Lytechinus pictus: one gene and its partner. The protein of the gene in region 2 binds, or shares a complex with, the protein of the main gene of each other region. Links are inferred from orthologs where the notes say so. Each region holds a gene or a part of one and is shown on either strand. Other genes may lie near its edges.

Region 1 (7,513 bases), about 11 Mb from region 2:
GGTAATTTTTTATGAGGAATCTGCTTAGGCCTATCACATTTTTATTTGCCGCCAAGTTAATCCTTTTGCAGCAAATGTAAACAAAGGAAATTGGACTCCAAAACTGGAGACTGTCTCTGAAATCTGGAAATTGGATACCCAAATTCTTTACAAAAGTCTCTGATATTGGAGATAATCTCCCACATTGGAGACAGTCTCCAAATAATATTGGCCGTGCACCTCTACACAGCGAACAATTGTGTACAACGGATAGCGGAGCGTGAACGTAGCGGTCGTGTACATTTTTGCTTATTACATGACGTCATCCAGCCACTGCCGAGAGCCAATTTATGAATGAAAATATAGTAAGCATGCGCAGTGCAAGCCTTCCATTTCCCCACACAGTATTCCACCAAAACAAGTGTGCAATTCTCTATCACCTCCTAGCAAAATCGGCCTAGAATTTCACTTTCCTATATTTTATATGAATTATGAAAGGTATTTTCGGAGGATCTATTTTCTCACCCATACCACACAGGTAAGTGAATTTCGATTACTTCTTGCTTTTCCGTCAAAATCTTACGAATTAGCGTCTGTATGTCATTGTGTTCATTGGAATTTGTAGAGTCTATCGCAACGTACTCAAAGTCAATTGGCTTCCGGGTTTCGGAGCGTCGCGTGAATATGCATGAAATTGCAGAGTTTCGATAATTTTCGATCGATACCGGAGTGATCCGATCACGGACCAAGTCCATTTTCCGTGTACACAACGTGACCGGATATCGTTATCGCTATCGATACTTCGGCACACAGTCCGAAGGAATTATTTTTGGGACCAAGTGGTCATGACGTGGTCTGCGCGATTGACCAATCAGCGGTCTTCGAATCGCTGTGCGGAGACGATCTATCCGTTGTACACAGTCTATGGACAATTGTTCGTTGTGCTCTACTGCTAAAAAGTGCTAGTGACTATTTTTTAATTGGTAAAAAGAAACCTAAATTGGCAAAAAAATGACAAAATTAACTTAAAATAGTTAAATGGAGGTGTGGGGCTGGCAAGAAATTCAGAAAATTAATGTGCTTTCAGCATGTTCAGTATTGTATCACCATGCAATTGTGCCCGCAATTGTTAATCAACAGCATTATACCAAACAGTCCACCAGTTTATGCAGTCCCCGCCCGCTCCGCTGGCCCATCCAAATTGAGCCATGCAGCGCAGCGGGTACTCACGAAGCCACGTGCGCGTGGTCGACCGTTTTTCACGTCCACGTTGATCACCAAAACCCACTCGCAACAATTTATACAACATACTTCAACAACAGAACTCATACACAATTCATGATAATGTTGAATCACATCAAACAACTATAGTAATTCGTATATCATACAATGAATAACAATTTAAGGCATTTTTAATTGAATATTCACCTGCACTCCCATCCATGTTTACCCTCTAGTGCACTTCAACGGAGAGGGCGTGATCATCGAATTGAAGCTGCGGGCTAGAAATATCGGTGATGAAAGAATACATGGTAGTTTCTATTTTATTTTATTTCCTTTTCTTTTCCTTGTTTTTTTTTGGGGGGTAATTTGATAGCAGATTCTTTTATGAATGATATACTTTAATTCCTCGTGAAAATTATTACCTTATTTCTCTAAATCTATATTCATAATCTTCTATGATTTGTGTAATGTATTATCACTCAACCTTTTTACGGTATATAAATTGCCAATTCGTCTATTGCAACACAATCGTCCACTCATCACATGGTCTAACTTCATTTAGTCTACTCTAATGCCATTCTGTCCATCAACATTTCTCCTATAACAACCATTCGGTCCAAAAAACATTTGGTCCAATCATCACTAGATCGTCTGACCATTTCGTTTAACCATTTGGTCTAAAATCCATTTAATTTTCTTTCATTTCGTGCAATTAACATCGTTATATATTCCAATTAGACAAAATGGTATATGGACTATTATTTTGGCTATTGGACCCAGTGGCGGACCGTGACCCGGAGGAGACAAAGCATTGGAGGGGCACAACATTGTTCACAAACAATACAGTGCCCCTCCAATGCTTAGTCTCCTCCGGGTCACGGTCCACTACTGATTGGACCAATTGGTTATTAGACGAAATGGTGAGTGAACAAAATGGCAATTAGACCAATGCAGATAGTGGACGAACTGATGGTAGACCAAATGATAGCTAGTAGACGAGTTGGTATATTTATGGACGATTTGGCATTAGACCAAGTGATAATACACCTTTTTTACCCCCTTCCCCCCACAACTCCTCACGGCATGCATACCGTTACGCAGTGGAGTAACTACGCGGGGGCACGTGCACCCCCCCCCCCCCCAAGCTGGCCAAAAAAGGAGAAAAGGAGGGAGAAAGAAAGAGAAACGTAGTGGGGGAGAAGAAATTATTGTATATTATACTATATTATATTATATTATATTATATTATATTATATTATATTATATTATATTATATTATATTATATTATATTATATTATATTATATTATATTATATTATATTATATTATATTATATTATATTATAGTATAGTATAGTATAGTATAGTATAGTATAGTATAGTATACAAATATACTTTGCCTTGAGAGTTTCTGGTTAAAACTATGGGCAAGAGGTGACTCCAGAATAGTACTATTCACTGAGGGGCGCAGCCCCGAAGTGAATGGTACTATTGGAGGCACCGAGGCCCATAGTTTTAACCAGAAACTCGAAATTATGGCAGAGTATATTTGTTTTATATTTTGGATTAAAAATTTTAAACAAAAGGAAAAAACAGAATAATGGCTTACCTTTTATCCTCTCTTGTCACTCTGATGGTCTTGTGCTCTTTTCTTAAATAATATCAAATTTTAATGAAATCCAAGTTTTAATAGTCAATGAAAATGTCTGAAAAAGTCAAAGCATAAACTGTAGTCTAAACATTAAAAAACGTAGTCGCCACGTCGCGAGAGTCGCCCATGGTAAGCACTCGAGCTCTCGTATACCCCGCTGAATGTTGGTGATTTTGATATCACGCGCATCAGGCGTATGGCGCCGTGACGTCATTTCCCCAAATAGTTTTACTATTTGGGGAAATTACGTCACAAAAATGACGTAATTTTCCCAAATAGTATGCCTAGCTGCCAACATTCCAAAATAGTTGAAAATACACATAATCACGTGAAGCTCTTTGAGCCAATGACCAGAGGATAAATTTTTGATCCAAAATATAATATAGTATATTATTGTATTGTATTGTATTGTATTGTATTATATTATATTATATTATATTATATTATATTATATTATATTATATTATATTATATTATATTATATTATATTATATTATATTATATTATATTATATTATATTATATTATATTCTATTCTATTCTATTCTATTCTATTCTATTCTATTCTATTATATTATATTATATTATAGTATATCATATTATATTGTATTATATTATATCATTATCATATCATATCATATTGTATTATATTATATTTATTTATATATATTATATTACTTTTTTTTCATCCTTTATGAAACATAATTATTAGAGCCTGGCCTTCCTGGTGCTCGCATTATCTGTTTAATGAGATACATAGTCCTGTTCTACTAAAACATTTCGTTTTCAAGTCAATTAATATACACCAAATATTTCCCGGCACTTACAGTTATTATTGTTTTATGTATAATCATGGGCGGAAATCTGTCCCGAAAGGTAGGGGGGACCACAGGGGCGGATCCAGCCTTCGCCAATAGGGGGGGGGGTTCAGCCATATTTTAATCCCCGATTGGCCGCTCGATGATGATTTTTGTTTGTTTCATTAAAGGGGTAGTCTTCGTGGTCACTTTTTAGCTTTATTCTTATAAATCAACATAAATATATAATATCATAATCAATATTTATATAATGCGAGCGCGAAGCGCGAGCAAATTTTTTTTTGGTTTTGTTTAGGGGGGGGGGGGTTTTATGTATTTTTTCCTAAAATTTTGAACATTCTGGGCAATGTTTGCTATCCTGAAAAAGATGTGTATGTAAATGAATAATTACTACGAACGTGAAGCGCTAGCAGAAATGAACTGATGGATAAGGTACCTGTTACAGACTGCTTGTAGTTAGCCATGAAGACGTTACATATTTCAACAATTAAATAATGCGAGTGCGAAGCGCGAGTTGAAATTTTTTGACATTTTTACCTAAGGAATGAAAATTCTAAGCACTTTTTGTAATTCAAACAGATAGGCATATAATTAAACAATTGATGCGAGCGCGAAGCGCGAGCGGAAAAAAAAATCGAGATTTAGACCTAAAAACGACACACTCTATTCATGTTTTGTAAATCATGAAAAGAATGAGTAATAGGGGATCTTCCTACATTAATAATGCGAGCACAAAGCGCGAGCAGAGTTTTTGATATTGTGATCTGAAACTGGATAACGATTTAAATATAGAACAAGTTGAGTATCTGAATAAACATGCGCGGGCGTGTTTCATATTCAGACCTAGAATCTAGGCATTCTACACATCTTTTATTATGAAAAATCAGAGCGAGCGCGAAGCGCGAGCTTAAAATATATGATATTCCAATCTGAAAAAAAAAGTTAATTTCAGCTATTTATTTCAAGCACTTTGTAGGAAAATCGTGAGGTGGATATGGATCGTACTTAATAAAGAGCTGATATTTTTCATTATTATTTGAGATTTGACATAGGACTGGGACATCCTTAGGACATGTCATATGAAAATGATGACTATCTTACTATCCCTCTTGCTAAGCGCGAGATGAAACAAAAGGGACAATTTAATCATTAAATTAATATCTTATTTATTAATGCCTAATGAGGGGGGGGGGAATCTGATGATATTATGGCCTGAAAACTGGACATTTCAAGCACTTTTGTAATTCTGAATAGAATGCATCAGTTAAAAAAAAAATTTTACCATTAATGCGAGCGCAAAATAATAGGTACTTAATAAATCGAAATTTGCGAGCGCTCAGCACGAGCAGAAAATTTCAATATTCAGACCATAAAGCTATCATTTTAACAGAGCACCTTTTAAAAATCAGTTTGTTAATCACACAAAATAATGAAAGTTCGATTTCCGAGGTGAAATGTGTAATGTATATTGACTTCCAAACTTGATATTTAAGATCCATGTTGAACAATCACCTAACAGGCAATGCGAGCGCGAAGCGCGACCGAAAATTTTATATAGTGACATGAAAGATTCTTTTTATTTTCCAAGTCTTCCCCTCATCTTATTTTATTCACTCTGGAAAATTTGACAAGCAAAAAAAAAGTTTTCACCCAAAATGTAAGGTCATTTAGTTCAAAAGACATGTATTATTTCGAATGTGAATGATGCATTTTTTTCCATCATAAAAGACCAAAAATAGTAGGGGGGACATTTGATATTGTGTCCCCCCTACTATTTTTGGTAGGGGGGACACGTCCCCCCTGTCCCCCCTGGGATTTCCGCCCATGTGTATAATAGTGACATATCATGACTATACTTGAAGTGATTCCCCCTTTTAAGGTCTATATACACATAAAAAAACATGCACAGTCTAGGCTTACGTTCGCATTAGTGGATTGGTGAGATATTCTGCTCTTCATGAATTCCTAACTGAAAACAGTCCTTAAAATGTCCCTTTTTCTGTTCTATTATCAAAAATTTTCAGCTCGCGCTTCGCGCTCGCATCATTGAAATATGTATGATCTTAGTGAATTTTAAGCCCAAAATGTCCCTCTTAAATGTTGCATATTCGTTCATACCCAAGGATGATAAAAATATAAAATCATTACCTATAACCTTTTGTGACATGGTGGTAAGGTGTTTCTGTTTATAGGGCAATTAACTTTACCTGTATCCCTACATTGGGTAAAAGTTTCAGTTTCCACATACCTGTACGCTCTATATTTTCAATAACATTGATCCACCGATATTATTCAGGACTTCAGAAAGCCTGTTTGTGAAATACGGCACAAAATAATAACAGTAGCGTAAGTATAAATATTTGAGTGGCCAGATCGATATGATGTATCAGATAAAATTATAACAAATTGCGAGCAAGCGAAGCAAGCTAGCAAAAATTTAGACATTGTTTCCCAAATAGCCGATTTTCATTGTGATATATATATATATTGTCAAAATAGGCCTACATGTCGACCTATACATGTAGGGCCTAATCTATTAAGCCATTAGTTTCACCCTTCTCTCTTTCCCCGGTCTCTTTCCTTTTCTCTTCCTTTTTTCTTGGTCGTGGAAAATTGGGGGCAAGCGCCCCAAGCCCCCCATCTGTACGCCACAGATTTCATATCAGTTTTCTGAATATATCATAGAGATATATATCTCTATGGAATATATACATATGTCAGGGGCGGATCCAGCCTTCGCCAATAGGGGGGCGGAATTTTTTTTCAGCCACATTTTCCCCGATCTGCCGCTCGAAGTTAATTTTTGTTTGTTTCTTTGACGAGTAGTCCTAATGGTCACTTCTAAGCTTTATATATGTATATACATTCATATAATATCATAAGCCTTATTTAAAAAGTGCGAGCGCGAAGCGCGAGCAGAAATTTTTAATATATGCGTTTTGATCTGATAAAAAAAGGATCTGTTAACGGCAGCTTCTTAGCCACGAAGACGTTACATATTTCAACTATCAAATAATGCGAGCGTGAAGCGCGAGCTGAAAATTTTGACATTTTTACCTGAAGAATGAAAAACGATAAGTATATAACTAAATAATTGATGCGAGCACAAAGCACGAGCTGAAAAAATCTAGATTAAACCTAAAAATGGGACACTCGATTCATATTTTGTAAATCATGAAAAGGATGAGTAATTGGAAATCTTCCTATATTAATAATGCGAGCGCAAAGCGCGAACATAATTTTTTTTTTTTTTTTTTAATATACGTTTTGATCTGATCAAAAAAAGGATCTGTTAACGGCTGCTTTATAGCCATGAAGATGTTACATATTTTTAGAGCGATCTGAAAATTTTGACATATCTACCTGAAAAATTGAAATTCTAAGCACTTTTTGTAATCGTGAAAAGGATAAGTATATAACTAAACAATTGATGCGAGCGCAAAGCGCGAGCGGAAAAATTCTGGACACTCTATTCATGTTTTGTAAATCATGAAAAGGATGAGTAGGCCTAATTGGAAAGTTTCCTACATTAATAATGCGAGCGCAAAGCGCGAGCATGCAGACAATTTTTGATACTGTGATCTGAAACTGGATAATGATTTAAATAGAGAACTAGCTGCGTTTCTGAAGAAACGTGAAACGCGTGTTTCAGATTTTGACCTAGAATTTGGGTATTCTAAATACCTTTCTTATTATGAAAATCAATAAAGTGAGCGCAAAGCGCGAGCTAAAAATATATGATATTCCGATCTGAAAAAGGGTCAATTTAAACTCTGTATTTCAAGCACTTTGTAGGGAAATTGTGAGGTACCGTGGATATGGATCACAGTTTAAAAAGAGCTG
Region 2 (7,090 bases):
CACCACCCAACCTCATGGCCTGAACATCCAAGAGGGGAACGACTGATTTTTCTTTCCTATCCACTTTCAATTTATATATACATATAATTTTTCCCCTCAGCTCTTTTGAATAGTTACATTATAGTTTCTTACTCTACTTTCCTCCCATATCTCATACAAGCTCAGCTCCAATTTTTCCTTCCTTATTCAGGCGATATAATTATTATTATATATATATATATATATATATATATATATATTTGTTTTTTCTCCACTCACCTCTTTTAGATTTACCACATTTGCTTATTTACATGTATACTATGGTTTCTTCATAATACACCCCCTCTCCTCTATATTTGCTTTTACCTTTTTAGGCAATTTGCTTCCTCTTTTTCACATATACAGATTTTTTTTCTTTCCTACTATATAGTCTTATGTTTTTTCCCGTCACACCTAGCGGATTACCATATCAGTTACACCATATGTGTATATATTTATATATTTTTTCATATACATTTCTTTTTTGGATATATTTATATACATATCACTTATAGATACATATTTACACTTACCTTCTTCTCTTAGTTTGTTTAATGCTTTATCATATATACTTATATGTCTTTTGCACATTATCAGTTGTTCCCCATTCTTTTTCTTCTTTTTTCCCCCCACTCTTATGCACCAGTTTATTAAGCCTTTCTTTGTAACCTGTTTGACCCACCTCTCACCAATTCTCTAGTTATTCATCCCTCTATCACTGTTTTGTTCCAGATCCTGTTTGATGTTGCCTGCCTCATTATCTTAATCCCTCTTGGCCTTACTTACACTAACTTCCCTTTGTGTCTGCCTACTCCTTTTCTTTCATCCCCTTCACTAACCTGATTGGTCTTCTCTACTCACTAATGCCCCTTTTGTCTCCTTGTTTCTAGTGTTGCTGTAGCTTGTTTGTGGTCTATATTATGGTTGTTCCACTTTATATGTTTGTCATTTTGCCTCCGACGAAGATTCTGCTAGGATCGAAAGCTTAGGCCCCCTTTTGACTTTATAATTTACTCCATTGGCTCTCTTTTATTAGATAAGCAGTTTTCAGCAGCTTCTTTTTGCCATTGATTTACATTCTTATCTCATGCTTCACATTCCCTCTTCAGTGCCATCATTTCATCTCCTGCTTTGCATTCCTTATACAATACTATTTGCAATGTTCTTTTCTTCATGTTGATTCCATGGCTCAGTTGATTTACTCTGAATGTTTAAGCCTTTAGAAAAAGTAATGTTTATTCATGAATAGAAGCTCATTTTCAATTTAATTTGAAAGCCTTTTATATTCATGTATTTTTTGTATACAAATTATCTAAGTTGAACACTTACTGTTCAACAAATTATTCATGCAAATAAACACTGAATTTGAGGTTGGTACACCATCTCCAGGCAGCAAGCAAGGATTAAAGTACTCATACTAGTACGAGGTTAGTAAGTATGAGTATGCTATACTAACCTCGTACACCGAACCGCGTTTGACCCCAATCGGTAACACCCCTATACTTACCCGTGTTAGGAAACTGGGACTCGATTCACGCGCATTCGGGCCGCCCTAGCTTAGAACTAAGCATTAATATCACAAAATTGTTTTACTCTACTAATTAAATGTATTCTGTGGAAGGATCAGCTCATAGAGAGTTGCATGCATCGTGCCTTGATTTTACCTAGACAGCTGGCAGCCGTCTGTTTCGAGGAGTTTTTTTAACATTTTTTTTATTTTATTTCTCCTCATACACAGACGGCTCGCTATCGTGCAGCCACCATTAGGGGACTTACAATGCAAAATCCCCCCGTCGGGGCTCTTCAATTTTTGTCTTTAATGAATCAAACTTTTGAAAATTACCGCGACCGAAATGCAAATTAATATTCCCTCTTGGCATTAATTGCCAAAAAACGGGGAAAAGCAAGTTAAAAGGAACAAAAACAGTGACTTACCTCGGCTGTCGCGCAACTTCACTGCCCTGTATTATCCGAACTTAATACACATAAACATATGGCCATTGAGTCCCCTGTACAGATCGCGCTAGAACTTCGGTCTCTGTATTTGGTGAGTGAAGCCAACGGAGTTCAGCTGAACAACCAACATAACAGAGACCGAAGCTTTTGGTCTAGATTTTACCGTGCACGGCGGCAGTAATGCACCCATGGGTGGGATTCAAGTTGTGTCTTGTATAACTCTGTAGGGATATACCACGCCCATATGCTCACCCAAGGCCACCGCTTTTCTGAATATTATCACGATCGTGAACGCTTCGCATTGCCGTGGCTATGCCATAATTTTAATATGGACTGAAGTTAATAACCAAAACTGTGCAAACATTTGGCGAGCAAACGAGTGAGTTGCCGCAGTTCAATCTTTGTTGCTAACTTCAGTCTTTATCAAAATTACAACGAAGCCAAGAAAAGCGATGTCTGACTGAGATTGAGAAGTTTGATGACGTACTTACTAATCATGCTAATACTAATACAGTAATACTAATAGTAATATGCCGTAGTAATATAATATAGTCTAGACTCTAGAGATCGGAGCCAAAGCGAAGTACAGCCATTCCTGATCACGATATTTGAAAAACGGTGGAAATGTGTATTGTTTATTGGCCTCGAAATGTGACCAAGAGACTTGCCATGACATTTGCGAACAATTTCTGGTGGGGAAATTTGATCAAAGTCGGCCGGTGCGAAACTGCATTAGCACCCCAGCCCCAGGCCTCACTCGCCACGAACTTACACCAACGAAGACGAATGGGACTGAGGTGAGAAAGAGATCTGCAGGAAAATTGTCACATGGCTCGAAAAACAATATATGAGTAGCTTTAAATCCATTTGATTCACCACACAAATTCACTTAACGCAATCTCCTCGCATGAAACACTAAATTTTAGTACGTTTGCTATGTAAATATCATAAATTTATATCATTAAACTTACCAAGTCAGACAAGGTGTTCAATTACGGTGTCGTCAAAACGTCCAACGCTCTTGGAGGAATATTTGTTTGTAAGTTAGCAATAGCAAAAAGAAAAACGAAATCAGATTGTCACACGGGCAATAACTGCACAAAGCGGGGCATGGGAGTGTAAAATAAGACGTCATCCCCCCAAAAAAAAACAATAATAATAATCAAACAAACAAACAAAACAAAACAAAACAAAAAAACGCGAAAACGAAAAAAATATAATGAAAAATTGATAAATTTACATATAAATTTTACAGAAAAAAGGGTTTCGATCATGAAGGATGAGGAAAATGCCATGCTCTCCATTGTGTAATACACTTATTATCTCACTTCATAAAGAATAGATGTATGACTGAGTTTGCTTGAATGTGAAATCCTAAAAGGCAGATCAAAGATTTTTTTTTAAGTATGATAATAAATACACTAACTGATGTTCTGATAAGTGCATTCAATTTTTTGGGGGATGGTAAAAGAAATCATATATAAAATGAATGGTCTGGAAAGGAAATGAAATTATTGTCCAATCGGACATTAATGCTCAGCTGATTGCAGCAAACTTTAATCTCTTTGTCGCATCCTAATCATCAGCTTTCCACTGTATATGAGTAATGGACAGTGACATTGTAATATGCAAGGGGGGAATGAACAAGCCTGAAGGGTCCTTAATTGGATTTACCTTTGAGGATCTGACTGTTTTAACCCGGTTTAAACTCCAAGAAGTTCCTCATGCTGCTCACATACCCCTTCATCTCTCACTCCTCAAACGAGACAATTGTTTTTTTTCAAAAAAAAAATGCTTAGCAGATTGCGAGTGTCATGTGGGACAGAGGACGACGCCCCAAGAGCCTTGGAATGAGTCTAAGAAGGGGTGCTAGCATTTAAAAGAAATATTTGACAAGTAAAAAAAAACGACTGTCACTCCAAAATGTAAATGATTTTGATCAAGGAAAATTTGACAAGCAATTAAAAGAACAAACAAAAGGAAGAGGGGTTCATTCCAGAATGAAGCTTAATATTATACCAACCACATTATTTTCCAGGGGTGCTGCGAAATCTTGCGGGCCGGTGTTGAGCACCCCCGCTTCCCAGTGCCATGCACACCCCTCCCCCCATTTTTTTTTCAAATAGTAAAAATAGGAGGAAATGGGGGGGGGGGAGAAAAGAGAATAAAGAATGAAGAAGGGAGAGAAAGGTAATTTTGGGCAGTATAAGTTTGTTTTTTTCGTATCGTCCAAACCCCAGAGGTTGACATTTTACTTTTTTTTGCTAAAATTTTTCAAATCTGGAATACAAGAGAAGAGATAAATCAGCACACCGTTGTATAATCGCTTATTCAATCATCATCATCAGCATCATCACCACCACCACCATAATCATCATCACCGTCATCATCATCATTATCATTGTCATCATCACCACCACCATCACCACATCATCATCACCACCACCCCACCACCACCACCACCATCACCATCATCATCACCATCATCAACATCATCACCACCACCACCACCACCATCATCATCACCATCACCACCACCACCACCACCACCACCACCACCACCATCACCATCATCATCATCATCACCATCATCATCATCATCACCACCATCACCACATCATCATCATCATCACCCCACCACCACCACCATCACCACATCATCACTACCCCATCACCACCACCATCACCATCATCATCATCATCATCATCACCATCATCATCATCATCATCACCACCACCATCATCATCATCACCACCCCACCACCACCACCACCACCATCATCATCATCATCATCATCATCATCATCACCATCATCATCATCATCACCACCATCATCATCATCATCATCATCATCATCACCACCATCACCATCATCATCACCACCACCATCATCATCACCACCACCACCACCACCATCATCTTCATCATCATCACCACCACCACCATAATCATCATCTCCGTCATCATCATTGCCATGAAGATGTATCATACGCAGCGCCATCTCATTTGATTTGCGTCACTAATTCTAGCCGAAAAGCCCAACTGTGTTCCCATGCATCTAACTCTGAGTCAGTCTATTTTAAATAGCTTGTCTCGCCTAAGATTATTTGAGAAGCTATTCAAGCCATGTTTTAGTGTCAAATATTACTTGTTTTCTTCTTATTATATTTTTTATTCATTTATTTATTTTTTGTCTATTCATTTATTTTTTGATGTTGATTGGTTTTTATTGGCGCTCTCACTAAAAAGGGAATATATGAACCAATACAATTTATTTTATCATATCACTTTAATTTTTCATCATTATTTTCAGTAGATAAGGCCTTATATTTCAGGAGATTTGAGAAACATAAGGTCATTAATTTGATAGAAGAAATTTCGCAAGCGCGCACTGTAAAAGATAGCGCCTCTTCGCTTTAAGCCACATCATTGATGAGTCACTTTTATTTATTTATTTTTTTTTTTTGGGGGGGGGTGTCTGAAGGTTATGTACGCCATCGTTTTGTTGTCACGAATTCGATCATCTCTTCAAAGATATACAATATTCAATGGGGAACCATGGATCGTAATATGGGGGCACGGGGAAAAATGAGTTACTTATTTGGCGCGCAAAGCGCACTGCAAGGATTTGTTGAACTAGGCTAGGGCCAGATTCAAGAACAACAAAAAATAATAATATATAAATGCAAAGGTTCGGTTAAATTTATACAGGGATAAGGTTGGAATGTAGGAGTCTGTGTGTGACAGTTCAGCAATTTAAGTTTCAAAAAATGATAAATTTATGTGAGACGGATGTGCATTACAAGCCATGGTGTTTCCACTGGCCTATATACAGATAGGGGATGGACCCCAACAAATTTTCACGATCAAGAAAAAAAGGGGGCGAAAGAGAATGAAAGAAAATGTGTAAAATATGAAATTACTTTCTAATTATCGTGTCAAAGTCTATCACAAAATAAGATTTTTGTATTAAAAGGGTCAAAATCTTTGCTAGCTCGCTTCGCTCACAGCTCTAAAAACTTTACACCAAACCACGCCTAGCCTCCTTCAATTTTTTTTACTCATTACGATACTGGGTGTTTCTAGATATTTCATTTATCTTTTCAGGCAATATGTTCTTGGTTTGGGTAGATTTATTTTGGCTCTGATATACGATATGGATAGATATGGGCTATCAACTCAAATTCACTTCCCGATTATATATGATTTTGTAGATCATAGACGATTGAAACGGGAGTAGGTTTTGATGGGTGATTTTTGGTTTTCACCTACATGGGATTCGATTTTGAAAATATATATTCTCTGACTTTTCAAAAGTATATCGAGTGGAAACCAATATCCTGTATAATGAAGTCACAATAATTAATGACCTCGATCTGATTAAAGTGATAACCTGTTATCATGTTAAGTGCCGTGCTTCAATTTTCGTTAAAATAAACGGGTTCACCCAAATCCCTATACCCTCTCCCTTGCTTTCTCCATATCTGGTAATATAATTTTCCAAATTGAATGACTCAATACATTTTATTCCACATTCAACTGGGACAAGTACTGCTCCTTTAAGCACTGGCGTATACAGGGGGTGGGGCTGCGGGGAGGGAGCATAGGACCCTAGTCAAAATCTATCACAAAAAATAAAAAGTTCAAAACTTTTGCTCGCTCGCAGCTTTCTATGAAATTCCTCGGTGCGCCATGTCTGCCCCCTACCTATTTTTTTTTTACTTATTTATTTTTTGTTCGTTTGCATTATTTTTAGAGAGATGTATATCGTATTCAAGCTTACAATAAAAGTGATTGAATGTTTTATATCAATGTACACAGCAGCTCGACCTGGCGCTTCGCACTCGCATTTAGTTTGCTTTAAGAGAATTACTTTTGTGTATTCTTATTGATGGTCCTTAAAATATGCCATTTTCAGGTGAGTATTTCAAAGATTTCAGATCGAACTGTTTATCTGGTTATCAAATGCCCTCTTCATAGTAACGAAATTTAGATTGCGCTTTTTCGGCTTGCGTTATTCATGCTTAAAGCGAAACCTAATATTGTTCCTAAAATTAAAGTCCAATGTATTTAAAAGAAATTATTTAGAAAAACTTTGGCTATTCAACAGTATTC

The links.
Region 1: telomerase Cajal body protein 1-like (region 2) and H/ACA ribonucleoprotein complex subunit DKC1-like share a complex: the UniProt entries of both Homo sapiens proteins name them as parts of the telomerase holoenzyme complex. The link is inferred for Lytechinus pictus from reciprocal best matches to the Homo sapiens genes WRAP53 and DKC1.

What each region holds. Positions count from the first base shown.
Region 1 is NC_087260.1:13,295,262-13,302,774, forward strand, and holds the start of H/ACA ribonucleoprotein complex subunit DKC1-like, read right to left. Parts: upstream 3,020-7,513; 5' UTR 2,812-3,019; intron 1,482-2,811; 5' UTR 1,424-1,481; coding exon 1,408-1,423; intron 1-1,407.
Region 2 is NC_087260.1:24,212,015-24,219,104, forward strand, and holds the start of telomerase Cajal body protein 1-like, read right to left. Parts: upstream 3,019-7,090; 5' UTR 2,946-3,018; intron 1-2,945. UniProt on the Homo sapiens protein: RNA chaperone that plays a key role in telomere maintenance and RNA localization to Cajal bodies. Specifically recognizes and binds the Cajal body box (CAB box) present in both small Cajal body RNAs (scaRNAs) and telomerase RNA template component (TERC).